3 linked regions of the Caenorhabditis elegans genome follow. The protein of the gene in region 1 interacts with the protein of each later gene in a pairwise test. Each region holds a gene or a part of one and is shown on either strand. Other genes may lie near its edges.

The links.
Region 2: the proteins of qdpr-1 (region 1) and pdhb-1 interact in a two-hybrid assay, tested with the Caenorhabditis elegans proteins (one large-scale study listed by BioGRID).
Region 3: the proteins of qdpr-1 (region 1) and wago-4 interact in a two-hybrid assay, tested with the Caenorhabditis elegans proteins (one large-scale study listed by BioGRID).

The regions. Positions count from the first base shown.
Region 1 is NC_003281.10:13,391,962-13,395,605, forward strand, and holds qdpr-1 (Dihydropteridine reductase), read left to right. Parts: upstream 1-1,948; 5' UTR 1,949-1,957; coding exon 1,958-2,041; intron 2,042-2,099; coding exon 2,100-2,203; intron 2,204-2,260; coding exon 2,261-2,384; intron 2,385-2,436; coding exon 2,437-2,705; intron 2,706-2,759; coding exon 2,760-2,889; 3' UTR 2,890-3,018; downstream 3,019-3,644. Other genes in the region: dnj-17 (DnaJ homolog subfamily C member 21), read right to left, coding at 322-492, 540-670, 725-1,018, 1,063-1,374.
Region 2 is NC_003282.8:3,397,564-3,404,535, forward strand, and holds pdhb-1 (Pyruvate dehydrogenase E1 component subunit beta, mitochondrial), read left to right. Parts: upstream 1-2,108; 5' UTR 2,109-2,124; coding exon 2,125-2,194; intron 2,195-2,324; coding exon 2,325-2,510; intron 2,511-3,045; coding exon 3,046-3,176; intron 3,177-3,866; coding exon 3,867-4,044; intron 4,045-4,685; coding exon 4,686-5,067; intron 5,068-6,010; coding exon 6,011-6,122; 3' UTR 6,123-6,340; downstream 6,341-6,972. Other genes in the region: dyf-3 (Clusterin-associated protein 1 homolog), read right to left, coding at 4-174, 620-820, 877-1,135, 1,227-1,338, 1,539-1,560. UniProt on the Caenorhabditis elegans protein: The pyruvate dehydrogenase complex catalyzes the overall conversion of pyruvate to acetyl-CoA and CO(2).
Region 3 is NC_003280.10:12,917,385-12,924,009, reverse strand, and holds wago-4 (Argonaute protein wago-4), read right to left. Parts: upstream 4,460-6,625; 5' UTR 4,434-4,459; coding exon 4,278-4,433; intron 4,226-4,277; coding exon 4,035-4,225; intron 3,990-4,034; coding exon 3,821-3,989; intron 3,777-3,820; coding exon 3,371-3,776; intron 3,325-3,370; coding exon 2,598-3,324; intron 2,553-2,597; coding exon 2,377-2,552; intron 2,331-2,376; coding exon 2,162-2,330; intron 2,113-2,161; coding exon 1,938-2,112; intron 1,895-1,937; coding exon 1,649-1,894; intron 1,609-1,648; coding exon 1,244-1,608; intron 1,196-1,243; coding exon 1,078-1,195; 3' UTR 633-1,077; downstream 1-632. Other genes in the region: F58G1.2 (C2H2-type domain-containing protein), read left to right, coding at 5,030-5,066, 5,233-5,601, 6,189-6,625. UniProt on the Caenorhabditis elegans protein: Argonaute protein which is involved in the endogenous small interfering RNA (endo-siRNA) pathway and is required for RNA-mediated gene silencing (RNAi) in the germline.

The DNA of each region.
Region 1 (3,644 bases):
CTCAAATTTTTCAATTTTTCTTCTTTTTTTTCATTTTTTAAACGTTTTATTTAGATTTTTCGATTTTAAAAGATCAAAAAAAAATTTTTTAAAGGAGTTCCGATAAATCTATAATTTTCGTTTTTCAATTCTCAATGTTTCGATTATTGTGCATTTTTTAAGCTTTTTTTTAAACAAAAATCGTTTGAAATTAAGGTTTTGCAGCCAATGCCTAACAAGACCCAACTTTGGAGGCGGAGCGATTTAATTTTTCCGTGAAGCGTACTTGCATCTCCATTTCAAAAATGGCATTTTTCTGCGTCTTTATAATATTCTGCTTACACAGTTTTGAACGATTTGCTACAAACAACACAATATGGAAGTTCTTCTCCTTCTTCATCACATTCATCACTACAAGTATCGTAATCCTCGGCCATTTGTAGACTAACTTCAATCAAATGAGCAAGACGGGCTGCCTCGGCTTCTTTGTCGTTCAGATATGAGTTGGCTAGCCTGAAAAATTCAATTTTTTCCTTATTTTTCACAATTTCGGAACTTACTCTTGATTTTTGGCGATCTGCTTTTTTCGATTATCAGCTTGTTTCTTATGTGCTTCCAATTTTTTTTGCTCCAAAATTTCCCTATATGCTTTGACACGTGGATCACGTTTTCGAACAAAAGCGACCAGATTCTGAAAAATTTTGTTAAATTTAAATTTAAAATTAAATATTCCGGACAATCATACCCTAATTTGCTCGTTCCTTTCCTGCTTTCCGACATCCCTAAACTTCTTATTTTCCTGATCGATTTGCCGTGATTCGAATCGATTTGAAGCCTGTGTGATATCATAATGATCCAGCCAGGCAAAAGAGCGAGTTGTCGAAAAAGAGCTCCAAAAACCGTAGAAACCATTCACAGTTTGCTCCAAATCGGTATCCTTGTCGCCAAACTCTGGATAGACTATTGTTGAATCGTTGTACGCATCATATTCCTCAGAAACTAGGATATTGAAGACTTTCCGGTAGACAGTGAAGAAGCCCTGTAATTTATAATTTTGATTTACTTTTTAGATTTCATTCTCACATTTTTATCGTTTTCATATCCTTGATAGCAAGAAGCGGTGAAATAGGGGAACAAATCCGTGGATTGTTCCTCGAAATCCGTATTTTTTCCCTTCAGAATACTTTCTCTATGTCTATCGTAAAATTCGCGTTCTCGTGGATCACTCAAAACGTCGTACGCAGCTTGAAGAAGCCTAAATTGCTGAGTACACTCTTCGATGCGATCCGGATTTTTGTCGGGATGCCATTTGAGCGCTAGTTTTCTGTAGTTCTTTTTGATTTTATCGTCATCAGCGTCGCGTTCAACTTCGAGCACTTCGTAATGGCATTTCATAGCTGAAATATTTAAAATTTACTCTAAATATGATTTTATTTTATAAATTGAAATGAATAGTTCATGCGAAACCATTTAAATAATAATAGAAACAAGAAAAAGAATTAAATGAAAAGAAAAAGTTATCTATCGTCTCTCCTTTCCACACGATGTCTCGCCATCTACATTAGAGCGCAATTGTAAAAAAATAATTTCCTATATTTTTTCCCACGATGTTTTGACGAATTCTGAGAAGCTAATTCACATTTTCCTGTTGTGATTCATATTAAATGTTGTTGAGCTAAATAAGAGCTATCGATTGATATGTCTGCCAAATTTCTTGCAAAAATATAACTGATAAAACTCTCGATAACAAAAGTTCGTTTCGAGTTCAAGCTCGGAAACCGATTTCCAAAATGTTGTTTCATCTTTATTTTCCTGAATTCCATCAAGTTTTCCCTCATTTAACATTAAAAATCTGTGTCTCTGATCACTCGTTGATACCAGTATCACATTAAAATCGTCCTTGACGTCGTCCACGCGGCCAATTTGTCCTTCAACCTCCATATTGTCATTCTTTACTTTTTCCTTGCAGTTTCGAACAATGTCCAGTGGAAAAGTTATCGTATACGGAGGCAAAGGCGCACTTGGATCTGCTATTCTTGAATTCTTCAAGAAAAATGGTTATGTAAGTTTTAAAAGAAATTGAATTAGGATGTTGTAAATTAATTTTCATTAATTTTCAGACTGTTCTAAACATCGACTTGAGTGCCAATGACCAAGCTGACAGTAATATTTTGGTGGACGGAAATAAAAATTGGACAGAACAAGAACAATCCATTCTCGAGCAGTAAGTTGTATTTTTAATTTAAAAAAAAGCTACCGTAACCTCATAAAATATTTGCAGAACTGCTTCATCTCTCCAGGGAAGTCAGGTTGATGGAGTTTTCTGTGTTGCCGGTGGATGGGCTGGAGGCTCCGCTTCTTCAAAAGATTTTGTGAAAAATGCTGATTTAATGATCAAACAATCGGTAACATATATTAATCCTAAACATCTGGTATTATTCTACCGTGAATTTTCAGGTCTGGAGTTCAGCAATTGCAGCCAAATTGGCCACCACTCACCTCAAGCCGGGAGGTCTTCTTCAGCTTACAGGAGCTGCTGCTGCTATGGGACCAACTCCATCAATGATTGGATATGGTATGGCAAAAGCTGCAGTTCATCATCTGACATCTTCATTGGCTGCCAAAGATTCGGGATTGCCTGACAATTCGGCCGTTTTGACAATTATGCCAGTCACTTTGGACACCCCAATGAACAGAAAATGGATGCCAAATGCTGATCATTCAAGGTAAAATTAAATTACTCTTTTTCTTTTGCATAGTTTTCTATGTTTTTTTTTCAGCTGGACTCCACTCTCATTCATCTCTGAACATCTTCTCAAATGGACCACAGAAACATCGAGCCGTCCATCTTCCGGGGCTCTCCTCAAAATAACCACTGAAAATGGAACATCGACTATCACTCCACAATAATTTTACCGACATTTTTCAGCCTTTTTTACATTCCGCTTATTATCTGTTATTTTTCCATGTAGTATGCTATCAATTTCTAAATCATTTGTCCATAAAGCTTGTGATGTTTTTAAGTAAAAATGTTTTATTATCTAGATGCGAAATATTGCAATTTTTCTGCTGAAAATACGGTACCGGTCTCGACGCGACAATTTCTTATGGTTTTTTTTTAGTTCCCTATTTTCTTTAAATTTATAGAAAATTCTACGGCAACAAAATGTTACAAAATTACAGTACTCCCTAAAGGCGCATCCCTTTTCGAAGTTAATCAAAGTTTGTCGTGTTGAGACCGAGTACCGTATTTTCGGGGCAAAAGTAAAAATTTGCTAGAAACTCGCAAAAGATTTTATACAAATTACGTTGAAAATAACTTTACCAAAATATTATGAATTCAGAGAATGGAAAATATACCTTGGAAGGGGCACACCACTTTTGCGATGGGTCCTGAAACGATTTTAATTAAAAATCTACAACATATTGTTCATGCTCCTTTAAATTACCGAAAAATTGTTTTTTTTTTTCGTTTTCTTTTTCAGCGTATTATTACATAATTCTTGTCCCAAATCTTTAGTTTAATTCGTCAATTCTCACCATATTGATATGACAAGAAAACAGAGAAACCCGCAGTTTATTAGTCACTCCCATATCATTTTCTCTCTTCCAATTCTCCTCTATCTGTTTGCAGAGAATAAATCTTCACACTTTTTTCTGTTCTT
Region 2 (6,972 bases), on another chromosome or scaffold:
TACCTCATAAAGTTTCTTCAGTCGCTCCTCAAACCGCTCGTACTCGTCCATATACTGAGGTCGGAAGGACTGTAGCTTTGCGAATCTTTTTTGCAACTGCTCGTACTCTCGCTTCTTTCGCTCTATCTTCTCGTCGAGCTCTGCCTCATCGCTGGCCACGTTGTTCAGCTTGTTCTGAAAATTTGAGAGGTTAGCTGGGGAGCCTGCACCTAACCTAATTGTAAGTGACTCAGACCCTCCGGGCTTTAAGAACAATCACGTGGGTTCGAGTGGAGTGGGTGTTGCTTCAAGCCAGTTAGGCTAATTCAGTCTATTCCTTCAGCTCCAAGATCCTCAGCGGACTCCTCGAGGCTAGGGGTCTCTGAGCTTCTGGAGAAGATGCACAGGCCCGGTCTAGTGGCTTGAAGCCCTGCATATACCACTAGAGTTCAGGTAATGAAGCTTCAAAGTCTGAATCAAAGTTCAAGTCACTCTTTGACCAAGCCCACGCCATTAGAAGAAGTCCAAGCTTTTTACTGTCCGCTTCACAATCAGGATCGAGCCAGGCCAATCTCTCAAACTCTAAGACGCCAGAGCTCAAACCTACGCCACCAGGAGCTCCGTGACCCGTCAAGCTTACCGATAGCTGCTCAGTCTCCTGAGCGATGTTCTGCACTGTTGCCTGCAGCACCTTCTCGGCCTCAGCAAGTGGTACCGCCCGTGACGCGGCTCTCTCGTGTTGCTGAGATATGAACTCCTGCCGGGACAGCAGCTCACTGAGCAGGGCACCTGTTTCCGGGAGTTGTGATGATAGCTGACGAGTGATTCGGACCTCCTGCATCTGAACTTTCGACAGTTTTTTCAGGCTTTTTCAGGCTGGTGGCCTGTGAGACCCACCTTCGACGAGAGCTTATTCTTGACTTGGGTCCATTTTGGCGAGTTATCAGTGTTCGGGTCCTCTGCCTTGGCCTGGTAGAGGATCTTCATGGCCGGTAGGAGTTCCTGCACCGCATGACCATCAGCCTGGTACAACTTTTTTGGATTCATCTTGATTCTCGAATTTTGGAGCATCAGGAGTACCGCGTTCTTGATGAAAGCGACCCGATCAGCTTCTGTTTGGACTTCGTGTGCGTCAAGGTTGGATTCGGGCTCAAATCTGGAATTTTTGGGCTTAGAGTAGGCTTGGAAGTTAGTGGCCAAAGTTTCTATATTTTTCGGCCAACGATTTTTTTCACTGGGAAACTAACTTTTTCACGATCCATTCCAGCAATTCAGCCACCAGCTGAAAATTTGGGGTCCGGAAATTCTCAATTGACATCAAGCGAGGGTATCGGAGGCTTCGCGTCATCTCACACAGGTCTGAAGTTGGCGAAATTTGGGACTAGAATCCGAACTCGGCCATGATTTTGTAAAATTCAATTTTAAGTGTATTTTGGGTCTTTTTTTTGCGTTTTATGGTTTAGAAACATTTCTCACCTAGATTTTAATGCAACACTTATTTTTTCCATATGAAAATCTCAAAGTTCAAATTTAAAATTAAAAAAGCCTTAAAAACTTACTTCTCAGCTCACGATACGACATTTTTCGTGCAGAATTCAATTGAAACTTCTCTTCTCAACAATTGCCTGCCTATTCCCCCATTCAATATTTCCTCCGTTCCCATAGAAACTCCCTGCAAACACCCCAAAGACTACGGTCGACGAGCTTCTGCAGCTCAACCGGCGTTTTGTACGCAAACACCGCGACGCCATATTGCACACATTTTTCGAGAGGAGCGCCGCGCGCATTTTCTCCGAGTTTTGTTTGCTTTTTTGCGCATCTTTCATTGATTTTTTATTAAAATCGGGGGAAATATGGTTTAAATTATCGATTTCCGCCTGTTTTAGTGGTGAAAATGTGAAAAATCGTAGTGAAAAACCCTAGAAACCAGTAAAATTCTATTTGGAAGGGTTTTGGTCTAAATTTTGAGTTTTTAGCATTAAAACAATATGCTCAGCAGAAAAACTAATGAAAATGTGAGAATTTTGAATCAAAATACCTAAATTTTTTAAAAAATCCTAGTTTTTCTCTATTTTTCTCAAAATTTCCGGCAAAAGCCTCAAAATTTCAATTAATTTCCGGTTTTTCAGGTAATCCCCGGTCGAAATGGCTCTGAGAAAGTGTGGAAACCTGTTCGTGGCTCGTCTCGCTGGCACCTCGACCAGAGCGGCTTCCAGTGAGTAGAAATTGCAAAAAATGAATGGAAAAAAAACGAAAAAATCGCTGATTACCGGCTAAAAATGAAGAATTGAACGGAAAAAACGAATTTTAACCTAAAAAAGCATAAAAATCGCCAATTTTTTCAGCAATGACCGTCCGTGACGCCCTAAATCAGGCTATGGACGAGGAAATCAAACGTGACGACCGAGTTTTCCTGATGGGAGAAGAAGTTGCTCAGTACGACGGAGCTTACAAGATTTCCAAGGGATTGTGGAAGAAGCACGGTGATAAGCGAGTCGTCGACACTCCAATTACTGAAATGGGATTCGCTGGTACGGGAAATCACGCTGGAAATCGAGAAAAATCGAGAAATGTTGACTCGGAACGTCAAAATCACTAATAAATCCCCAAAAACAGCACCATTTTTTCGAAAAGAAAGTGTCCAAATTTACTTTAATTTTGGATCTTTTCTCTCAAAAGTTCAGTTTTTACACTAAAAATTGGATTTTTCGAACAAATTTCGGAAATTTTCCTAAAAACAATTAATTTTCGGCATTTTTTATTGAAAATTTCAATATTCACTGCAAAAAGCTCGGAAATTACGGAGTTTTGATATTTTTCGCAGAAAATTCCGGTTTTATCAAAATTTTGTCGAAAATTAAGCTGAAAAATCACATTTTTTATATAAAAATCAGATTTTTCCCAATGTTATTTGCAGAAAAGCTCTAAGACCGCGCAAATTCAATTTTTCAGCAAAAATTGTCTAAAAAGCTCGAATTTTCGCATTTTTCTCGATTTATTCAATTTTTAGCAAAATTTTTTCAGAAAAAACTGAAAATTCCTCCAAAAAAATCACATTTTTTTCAGGAATCGCCGTCGGTGCTGCCTTCGCCGGGCTCCGTCCAATTTGCGAGTTCATGACATTCAATTTTTCCATGCAAGCCATCGATCAGATTATTAATTCAGCCGCAAAAACATATTATATGTCCGCCGGAAGGGTACGGTCTTGGCAATGTGCCACGTTTTCTGGAAATTGCGATTTTCAGCGAAAAAATAGCCGAAAAATTGAAGATTTTCACCAAATTTTTGACTAATTCGTGAGAAATCACGCTTTCTGCTATTTTTAGAACGAAATTCCTCGGTTTACACTGATTTTTCAGGAAAAAGTCAATTTCTGATACAAAAAATGCGATTTTTCTAGATTTTTGACTGAAAATCAGGGTTTTTCTGAAATTTCTACACAAATTTTACCTCAACAGAGCTGATTTTAGCTTTAAAATCCGATTTTTCTCGACTTTTCACTGAAAATTTCATTTTTTCAGCCATTTTCGTTGAATTTATGCTGAAAAATCATGTTTTTCACATGGTCTCACGCCATTTTGATAAGAAAAAATTTGTAAAAATCATCAACTGATAAGAATTCTTATCACTGAACACTTTCTGATCAGTGAATTTTATCAGAAATTGGAAATTTTTTTTCGGAAAATCGGTCCAAAACTGAGAAAATATAGGGAATTTATAACTTTTAAAGTTTTTTTTTCTTGTTTTTTTTTCTGAAAACACCGCTTTTCCAAGAAAAATACCGGAGAAAATGATATTTATAAAATCATTGAAGAAACATTTGAAAACGAAAATTGTAGAGATTTTGTAATATCTGAAGAAAAAAATCGAGAAAATTTATTTTCCAGGTACCCGTCCCAATCGTATTCCGTGGACCAAATGGAGCCGCCGCCGGAGTTGCTGCTCAGCATTCTCAAGACTTTTCAGCTTGGTATGCTCATTGTCCAGGACTGAAGGTTGTCTGTCCGTACAGTGCTGAAGATGCGAAGGGACTCCTGAAAGCTGCGATTCGTGACGATAATCCGGGTACTTGTCGCGAAAATTGGAGATTTTCGATGCAAAATTCAGATTTTCCAGAAAATTTCAGTCAACAACCGTGACAACTGGAAAACTTCTGATATTTTCGAAATTTTAGGATCAAATTAAGCGGTTTCTTGAAATTTTCCGGGTTACTGTAGCTCCAAAAGTACGCAAACACCATATTTTACGAAATTGGGAGCTTTTTGGCTGAAAATTTCAGTTTAGACTGATTAAAAGGTGGCAAATTTGAATTTTTAATTCATTTTTTGAGTTTTTAACGATTTTCTTGTGAAAAATGGTTTTCCGAACACCAATGTTTGCGTGCTTTTGACGCTACAGTAACCCCGAATCAAAAAATCGGCGCTATTTTCATCAAAAATTTGAGAAAAGTCGGTTTTTGTTTAGTTTTTTCATTCAAAAATGTTTTTTTTTTACTTTTTTTCCGGAGATTTACATTGTAAAATCTAAATTTCGAAAAATATTGTGCAAATTTAGCAGTTTTTCAGGAAAAAATCCAAAAAAAATTAAAAATTCTATAGGAAAATATCTGAAAACCAGTTTTTTTTCAGTTTTGGCCGAAAATTCTGCGAAAATTTATAATATTCTCCTAAATTCAATTTTTCGGGAAAAATTCGAATTTTTTGCAGTTGTCTTCCTGGAAAACGAGATTCTCTATGGACAATCGTTCCCAGTCGGCGACGAGGTTCTTTCCGATGATTTCGTGGTTCCAATTGGCAAGGCAAAGATCGAAAGAGCTGGTGATCACGTAACAATTGTCTCGTATTCACGTGGAGTTGAATTTTCACTGGAAGCTGCAAAACAGCTTGAAGCTATCGGAGTTTCAGCAGAAGTTATTAATCTTCGCTCACTTCGTCCATTTGATTTCGAATCGATTCGTCAATCAGTTCATAAGACTCATCATTTGGTGTCTGTTGAGACTGGATGGCCATTTGCTGGAATTGGCTCAGAAATTGCTGCTCAAGTTATGGAGAGCGATGTTTTCGATCAACTTGACGCGCCACTTTTGAGGTCCGTAAGAGAAAATTTGCGAAAAATGGCTTAAAATGCTAAAAATTTGATGAATAACTGCTAAGAATGGCACAAAACTTGAAATTTTATCTTTAAAATGTTCCAAATTTGACATTTTCTGAAAAGTTGAAGGAAATACTCGAAATTATCTGAAAATTTTATAATTTCATTACAAAAACAAAAAGGACCCTAAAATATGAGGAAAACAGCTGAAAATTTGTGATTCTTTCGAATTTTTCTTGTTCTTTTTTAAAGAAAAAGCGAAAAATTCGAAAATAGCTCGAAAATCTTCGAAACATGCGAAAAATCGCATAAAATCCTTTAAAATTTTCCAAAACTCCCGAAAAACACTTCAAATTTTTGTAAAAATGATCCAAACCCGAATAAAAACCTCTAAAATGCGAGAAAATGCTCCAAAATCTCAGGAAAAAACCCCCATAGAGCTCATAAATTTCTCAAAATTGCTCCAAAGTTTTAGCAAATTTTCAAAAATCCTTTAAATTCCCCTAAAAAGCTCCAAAATTGCTGAATAATTCCTCGAAAATCTCTGAAAATTTCACAAAAAAGCTCTCAAATTTTAGAAAGTCTTCACAAATTTCCAAAACCTCTGAAAATTGCTTATAAATTTCTCAAAAATGCTCCAAGGTGCTCCAAACAGCCTAAACATCCCGAAAATGCTCCAAATCTGCTCAAAAGTTGCTCCAAAATCTCTGAAAAATTCTATAAAATCTTCAAAAGCCCTCCGCAATCTCACAATACATTGCTCCAAAATTCGCTTTATAAACTCTATACTTTCTCAAACAAGCTCAAAAAATGTTAGAAATTGCTCTAAATTCTCTGAAAAAGCTCCGAATTCGTTAGAAATTTCTACAAAATTCCCTAATAAGCTCCAAAATCCCCCGAAATGCTCTAAATTTCCTAAAAATCTTAAAAAATTTTCCAGAGTCACCGGAGTCGATGTTCCAATGCCATACACTCAAACTTTGGAGGCTGCCGCCCTTCCAACCGCCGAACACGTCGTGAAAGCTGTCAAAAAGAGCCTGAATATCGCATAATTTTCTGTTTTTTTTCGTTAAAAAATCGATTTTTCTCTAATTCTCATGACCCCCGATGCCTTTTTTCCCCTAATTTTTTTTTCAAAATTTTTGGAATTTTTAAAAATTTTTAGAGCTTTTTTTTTCGAGATTTTCCCCATTTTTAGGTACTTTTCCTGTTTTTATGTTCCCCGTTTAATAGTGATTTTAGTGAGTAAAACGAGTAATAAAAGTCCCCTCAATTTCATGTTTTATGGCTCCGCGATTTCCCCGGAGCAGCAAGGTGCTCCTTCTCCGAAATTCGGGAAAAATGCGCATTTTTCCTTTCCACATTTGTCATGCAAATTCGTCGTGTTTTTTGGGAATTTTTTTGGCGCGCGCGCCTTTTTTAGTTTTATATTTGTTTGTTTTTTAGTTTTTTTCTGGAAAAGTTTTTTTTGAAAACACTAATTTTTCAAAGGATTTTCCAAAAATTTTAATTTTTCTCTATTTTTCGCAAAATTCGAGTTTACCTCACCGAGAGCTTTCAAATGAGTATAATCATGACCTGTTTTGCCTGAAATTGAGTTGGGTCTCACCACGAAAATCCCAGGGTTACTGTATTTTTCGTGGCGAGACCCAACGTTTTTTTTCAAGTTCGAGCAATGTATGCCGTGATTATACTTGTTCGAAAGCTCTCAGTGAGCTGAATTCGAAAACACAAAATTTTTTTGAGAAAGTTTAAATTCACTGGGTCTCCCCACGAAAATCTCAGGATTACTATAAATTTCGTGGCGAGACCCACATTTTTTCAACTCCAAGAAAAGTAGGTCATGATTATACTTAAATCAAAGCTCTCGGCGAGCTTTATTTGAAAATACAGGAACTTTTT
Region 3 (6,625 bases), on another chromosome or scaffold:
TTTATATTTTCCACACTGCCCTAGAACGGGGTTTACGTGACAATCCCTCCCTCTTCTTATCATTAGAGCTAAGTATCACTATTATAATTGCATGCCAAGCAGGGATGCAAATTTCTTGTTTCTTGATTTCTTGCATTTCTTGCTTCCATTTCTTGCAATATTTTTTTGCAAGAAAAGTGCAAGAAATTTTTTTTTGATTTTCAGGTTTATTTCGAGAAAAATCAGTACAAGATGGAGGAAGTTCTATGGAAATATAAAAATTTTATATAGGATTTTGGATAAAAAACGTTTAGAAAGCTGGAAAAATGTTTCAAATCGTTAAAAATTGGACATGGAAATTTGACAAATCGTAGAAATTTGGAAATTGCAATAATTTCATAGTTTTCGGCTGAAACTTACTTCCAGGAGTCGCCTATTAGGTTAAATCGTATTTATAATCGACTACTTTAACCTATATCTTAACATTTGAAAAAAGTTTAACTGTTTTCCATGTCTTGAAATTTCTTTCATTTTTTGCGCTTTTTCTTGCAATGTTTTATGCAAATTTCTTGTTTCTTGCAAAAAAAAATTTCTTGAACATCCCTGATGCCAAGCCGACCCGGAAAATTCAAAAATAGAACAAAAACCAATTTCGACGGCTATCAACTTTTATTAAGTTTTCAGTGCCTATATTAGTATTCAAAACTAAATTCTCGAAACATCTTCTGATGTTTCGAGAAGTTAGTACAAGAAAACAAATGAAAAAAAAAAAGAAAAAGGCCACAGAGCACACTTGTCAGCGTAATTTCAACGAGAAAAGAAATTGCGATGACAAGTTGCTGAAAAAAGGAAATATTTGACAAGGGAAGTGAATAACAGGGGACAATATAAGTATGATATAACAAGAATGGGCAATATTAATACATTGGGAAAACTATGCGGTTATAAACGTGGTGTAAGAGTAACAATGTGAAATGGTACAGGTGGGAAAGGGTTATTAGTTGTTCAAAAACAATTGCAATAGGGACAAGGAAATAATGGAACAGCAGGGAAGGGTTGAGGTGGTTAAAGAAACAAAGTTTGCCTTGTTGAAAGTGATCATGCGTTGACACGACGACCCGTGAGATCTCCGGACGCTTTGTAGCAGATGCTCTTGGTCAACTCCTTGAGACGATCTGCTTCCGGGCCAGAAACAGTTGGAACGTTGTTCAAGGCCCTGAAAACAAAAACATTTTTCCAAAGAATCCGCTAATGCAAAACTTACACTGCCTCGTTCCACAGATTGCGTCCTCTCTTGGCGTACTCGTTGGCGACGTACAATGGAGTTGGAAGCGACGTCGGAAGTCCAACGATCTGGTGAAGATGGCACAGCTTGTACGTGATATCCTCCAAAGCTGTCATGCTGACTTTGGCGTCATCGGCGAGAACTGTGTACAATGGAGTCTTCGCAGTTCCTTGCAGAGTGATGTGGGAATTCAGGAAAAACTGCTTGCAAGCCGGATTTGTCACGATGGAATCGACCAAAATACCGGGTGCAATATTCAGATCCCATGCTTTTGGGGCGGCTGGCATTGCAGAATGCCTGCTTGCGGTGCTGGAAGTCGCTTGTGGACGGGAAGCTAGACTTGCCTGAAAATATACAAAGTTATTTTGATGCAAAACTACTAACCAAATCGGGCTTGAAGAATCTGAAGCTGTGATCCTTTGACACCACAATGTATACAAGTTGAATATCAGGTGAGAAATCTCTCATAGCAGCACGAGCAAGAGGAATCTCGTAGGCCATGATTGATCCATGATTTCCCTCGCTTGTTCCTGTTCGGTAGACAATGACGCGTCTCGGAAGACCGCCATCATGAAACTTCTGGTATTCGTTGAGCGAGTGCATCACAATATCCTCAATCGGCGCAAGAGTCTGAAATCAAATCGGATGAGAATATTCTTAAATGGAAACTCACATCTTGGCTGGCAGAGTTTAACACGAAGTCTCCACTGAACTCCTGATTGTGCTGTGCATTGTACGCATAGCCGATGACATTGGGGTTTAGAACTCCTTTGTTCTCCATGGCATACTTGGTTCCAGCAGGTGGGGCGGAAATCCCAACTCCGATGATCAGATGAGAGTCGAGCTGCCTGAAGGAATAATAAATGAATATAAATTTCGCAAAAAAAAATCTGGTACTTCTTGGCGTCCACGAAAACATAGTTGGAACCTCCCAACTTCACATTGGTCTTGTTGATCACGTTCTCGAGAGTTAGCCTCTTTCCTGCATTGATAACACTCAACGCCTTGGATAGCTTCATGTCTTGAACGATCATCTTCGTATCCTTCTCAATCATTTTGTAACGCTCTGAAAGACGGAAATATGGACAAATATAATAAACAATGTAACATACGATGGAGTGTAGTGATTGAATCATCCGTTATGATGAAAACGAATGTGCAATTGGCTTTCGTTGCGTCGTACAGACGACTCTCGATGGCATCCATATGGATGAGCGAAATGTCAGCAGGAGCAGGCATGTTGACACCTTTTGACTTGCACATAGCCGCGAACTCATCTGCGAATTTCCTGAAACGAAAAAAATGAGATATGAAACTATATTGCCAGTCTTACTTCAGAGTATCCAAAGTTATGCGAGTTGATGCGGTACCGACAACATACATCGCCCACACATTCGGCGCCGTGGCTGGTCGAGTGAAGCGGTTGGCACGCCACTTGTTGTCCTTGACATTGATTGGATTGGCTCCAATTTCAGCGTTTGCCAACTTCACCGCAGGAATTGAGCGTCCTTTGACCATGAGCGGATCTTCGCACACCGAGACGCCCATTTTACCGAGAACCTCGTTGTCCGATGAGATTTGCGCCGCATTTTTTCCCGTCAAGATCAGACGCTGGCGAACGTCAGGTAAAACAGCACTTTCCTTCGTTGTCTTCTGACTCTGGGCACTGGTTAGCTGCGGGATCTGAACGCGTTGATGAGAGCTGATCTTCAACAATTCCATCGGGTAGAAGTTTATATTTCCTCTCTCCTTGGAAACGATGAGATTTGTGTCTGGATAGCGAAGAGTGATGTTGTATACGTCTTCGAAATATTGAGCTACAGTGCAGCTTCCACCGTCGTTGAGCTCGAAACGAGCATTTCGAGCCCCTTCGTGATGGATTCCCTCGATCTTGTGATGACGTTCACGACCGCCATATGTAGAATAGCAGTCGAGCCCTTTGATGACGGCTGCGCAGCGGTCCTTTTCGAGTCCCTTCAGGCCGTGTTCCACAGGCTGCGTAGTTATCTCCTTCAGTTTGTCGAGAATTGGCTGATTCTTATGGAAAGCGACCTTCATCCCTGAAAAACAAGAAATAACTATGATATTACTATTTTGAATACCAACCGTCAATGACAACTGATGGATTACTCCGTCCTCTGCCGTAGGGTCCTTCGATGAAGTTGATCGTCTTCTTGAGTCCTGGTACAACTTGCTTCCCATCCCCAACGTCCACAACGTCGCATTTCTCGAATCCTTCACCGAGTGGATCAATGAAAAACATTTTTCCATGATCGAAAACAACGTATCTCGCAGTGTTGCGAAGACATGGTTGAGTGAGAGCGAGTTCCAGGATCTGTTGGTAAGCCAAGCTGACAGAATCGAGGTTTGAGTCCGTTGCTCGTCTTGCTACGGCTTCTCGTGTGAACTTGACCGCTGGGTTTTTAGTCGGGAACACCTCCAGCTTAATACACGGCAACGATTTGAGATCCTTATGATCCATTTCTCCGCCATCAAGCTGCATGTACTTGGTCTGAAATATTCGGAATAACATTGGCCGAGATTTAATTTATTTACCTTTACTGCGCCTTCTCTGAACCCTTGGAAAAGATCCACGTTTGAGAACAGAATGCTTTGACCATCGTAGATGAGGCAGCTATCAGACGTTTTGAAGAACTCCTCATAGTCACCCAGCGCGCGGAACAGAATCGCACAGCACTTGTCGTGTCTCTCAGTAACGACGAAGCTGGAACATATTATGAGAAAAATATAAATCATGTGGTAAACTCACTCATCCTTCCCCTTCTTAGTGAAGGTAACTTCTTTCCCGTTTTTCAGCTCCGTCGTGATGTTCACGCTGTACTGATAGAACAACGAATCCTGGTGCATCTCGATTCCGAATACGTTGGTCTGTATTTCGGCCTCGACGCCACACTTTCCTGGTTCAGTAGGTGTTGGATAGAGCTTTGCAGCAGGAGCAATCTGAAATTTAACAAATTAGGTTTGAAAAAAAAATCAATTAAACTAAACGTACATTAAGCTCTTCCAGTCTCTTGATGCAAGCGTCGTTAGACGTTTGATACTCCGATCTTAACGGTTGAGTCGGAACTGGAACTGGTGGAACGGCAGGTGGTGCGTGGACGCTCGATGGAGCTCCAGAAGGCGTGTAGACTGGAGGAAGAGCTGGCATCCTTCTCGATTTTGTAACTATTACCTGTAAATTTAAAATTCAAGACGAAATAAGACTTAACGTATAGAAAAATGCGAAAAAAGCAACAAAAATACAACACAAAAACACAAAACGAGCATCAAAAACAAACATTTCCGCGAAAAAACGCGAAAAGAAAAAACGAAATTGAAAATCGCGGTCATCCTAAAATTCTGGGTTACTGTAGGTGACTTTCGCTGCGAGACCCGAGCACAACGACACTCCGCCTTAACGCAATGCGCCTTGTTTACCGTAAATCCACCCGAACAATTTATTTTTTCGAAGAGAACCTTTATTGAATTTTGCTTTTCTTTTTATAATTAAAACTCTAGAATTAAACAAAAATAGCTATTTTTAAGAGAAAAATTAAAAAAGTGCACTTGCGCTCTATTTTGCACTTCAAATACCCTCTTCATCAGGAGTCACATGAGATTGTTGCATTATTTCGAAATGTTCATATTTCTTCGTTTCGCCTCTATTTTTCCAGACCCGTGTTCAATTTCGTTATTTGAAATCTTAAAATTTCCTTCAATAATGCAATTAATTACAGGAACAATCAGGACAAGCAACGAGAAACAATGAAGGCGCCGGAGATTGTCGATCGTGAAGATTCACGTAATCATTATATTTTTTTCTATTGTTAACCTAATAAAAAAACAAAAATAACGAAATTTTGTTAACTTGATTTCTATATTTGGTTCCAAGAAACCTAGTTATTATCACTATTTGATATTTATTTCTCTTGTATTATTCTCTTCTAATGATTTCTTGATAGATGCAGTCTCGGAAGATGATCATGCGGAACATAGGGATTGCCAAGACGAAAAGGAACAGCAGATTATTGCATCATTCAACGCTCAGGATGCTCAACAGATTCGTCGTATTCAAGAGCACTTCCTTCAAGAATGCATGAAAAAGGAAACAGTAGCTGAAGCCAACGATTCTGGAAGAAATGACGTGTGTTGCCCACGAAAAAAGCTCACCGGAGTCGGCGAGCTTCTTGCGAGCCTCAGAAATCCGCCGAAAATTCATAAAGAACGAATCATTCTCGGCGGGGATGGAAGACCAATCAAAAAGCTTCGCGAAAACCGAGCTGCACTGAATTTCATCGATCCATCTGCCGAACTTGACAAGTGTATAGTTCGACAAAGTAAGGATTTCAGAAATTTGTCATTTAAAGGTGGAGTAGACTCGAAATTGTCTGAAAACACCGATTTATATAATGAAACTTGAAAACTTCCCAAAAACAAGTTATGACGGCTCAAAAAATGGCCTAAAAGTAGTTAAAACTTAAAATTTTACTTGTCAGCGCTGTCAGCTGGAAACAATTTTTGTTTTTGAAATCACCGTCAAATTTTGGGTATAAAATGTAATTATCTTGCGTTTTCAACACGATTTCGGTATTTTAAAGTCGATGGACCGCGAGATTTGGTTTAAAAAAATTTAAAAATCTCGCCGTTCATCGACTTTAAAATACCTAAATCAGAGTTAAAAACGAAAGATAATTACATAAAATACTCAAAATTTGACGGTGATTTCAAAAATATTAGTTTCCAGCTGGCAGCGCTGACAAGTCAAATTTCAAATTTTAACTAATTTTAGGCCAGTTTTTGAGCCGTCATAACTTTTTTTTGAGAAGTTTTCAAGAAGTTTCATCATGAAATTCGGTATTTTTAGGCAATTTTGAGTCCAATTTTGAACCAATATTTGGAAAAAAAGAAAATTTATAATTTTCAGAGCAGCAAGACTTTTGTGCTCCGGATCTCAACATGGTTCCTGCGTCCTCACTGAGCATCGATGAAATTCGAAATGCCGTCCGTAAAAGCATGTTCCGATGCAAAGTCTGCAAAAATCGTTTCGGTGAGATGAGCCTTCTCGAGCGACATCTCAGAGATTCCCACCCGAAAGCCTACATTGCATTTTTGGAAAATCAACGTGAAATGGCTGATTATATGGGTGAACTGGAGAGAGAGCGTAACCGAATCGAAGAGCTTGTGAGTGGCGGATTCATTCCTCCAGAGTCGGAAATTGAGGCGACATCGAACAATCTGGAAGTGGACTCGATCCCGTTGCCGGGTGAGAACAGTCAAGGACACATCCCACGACTGAATCGTTACGGAGGTCTCATGTACCCAATGGATGCGCTTAGAAAGAAATTTCCATATCTTAAGAAG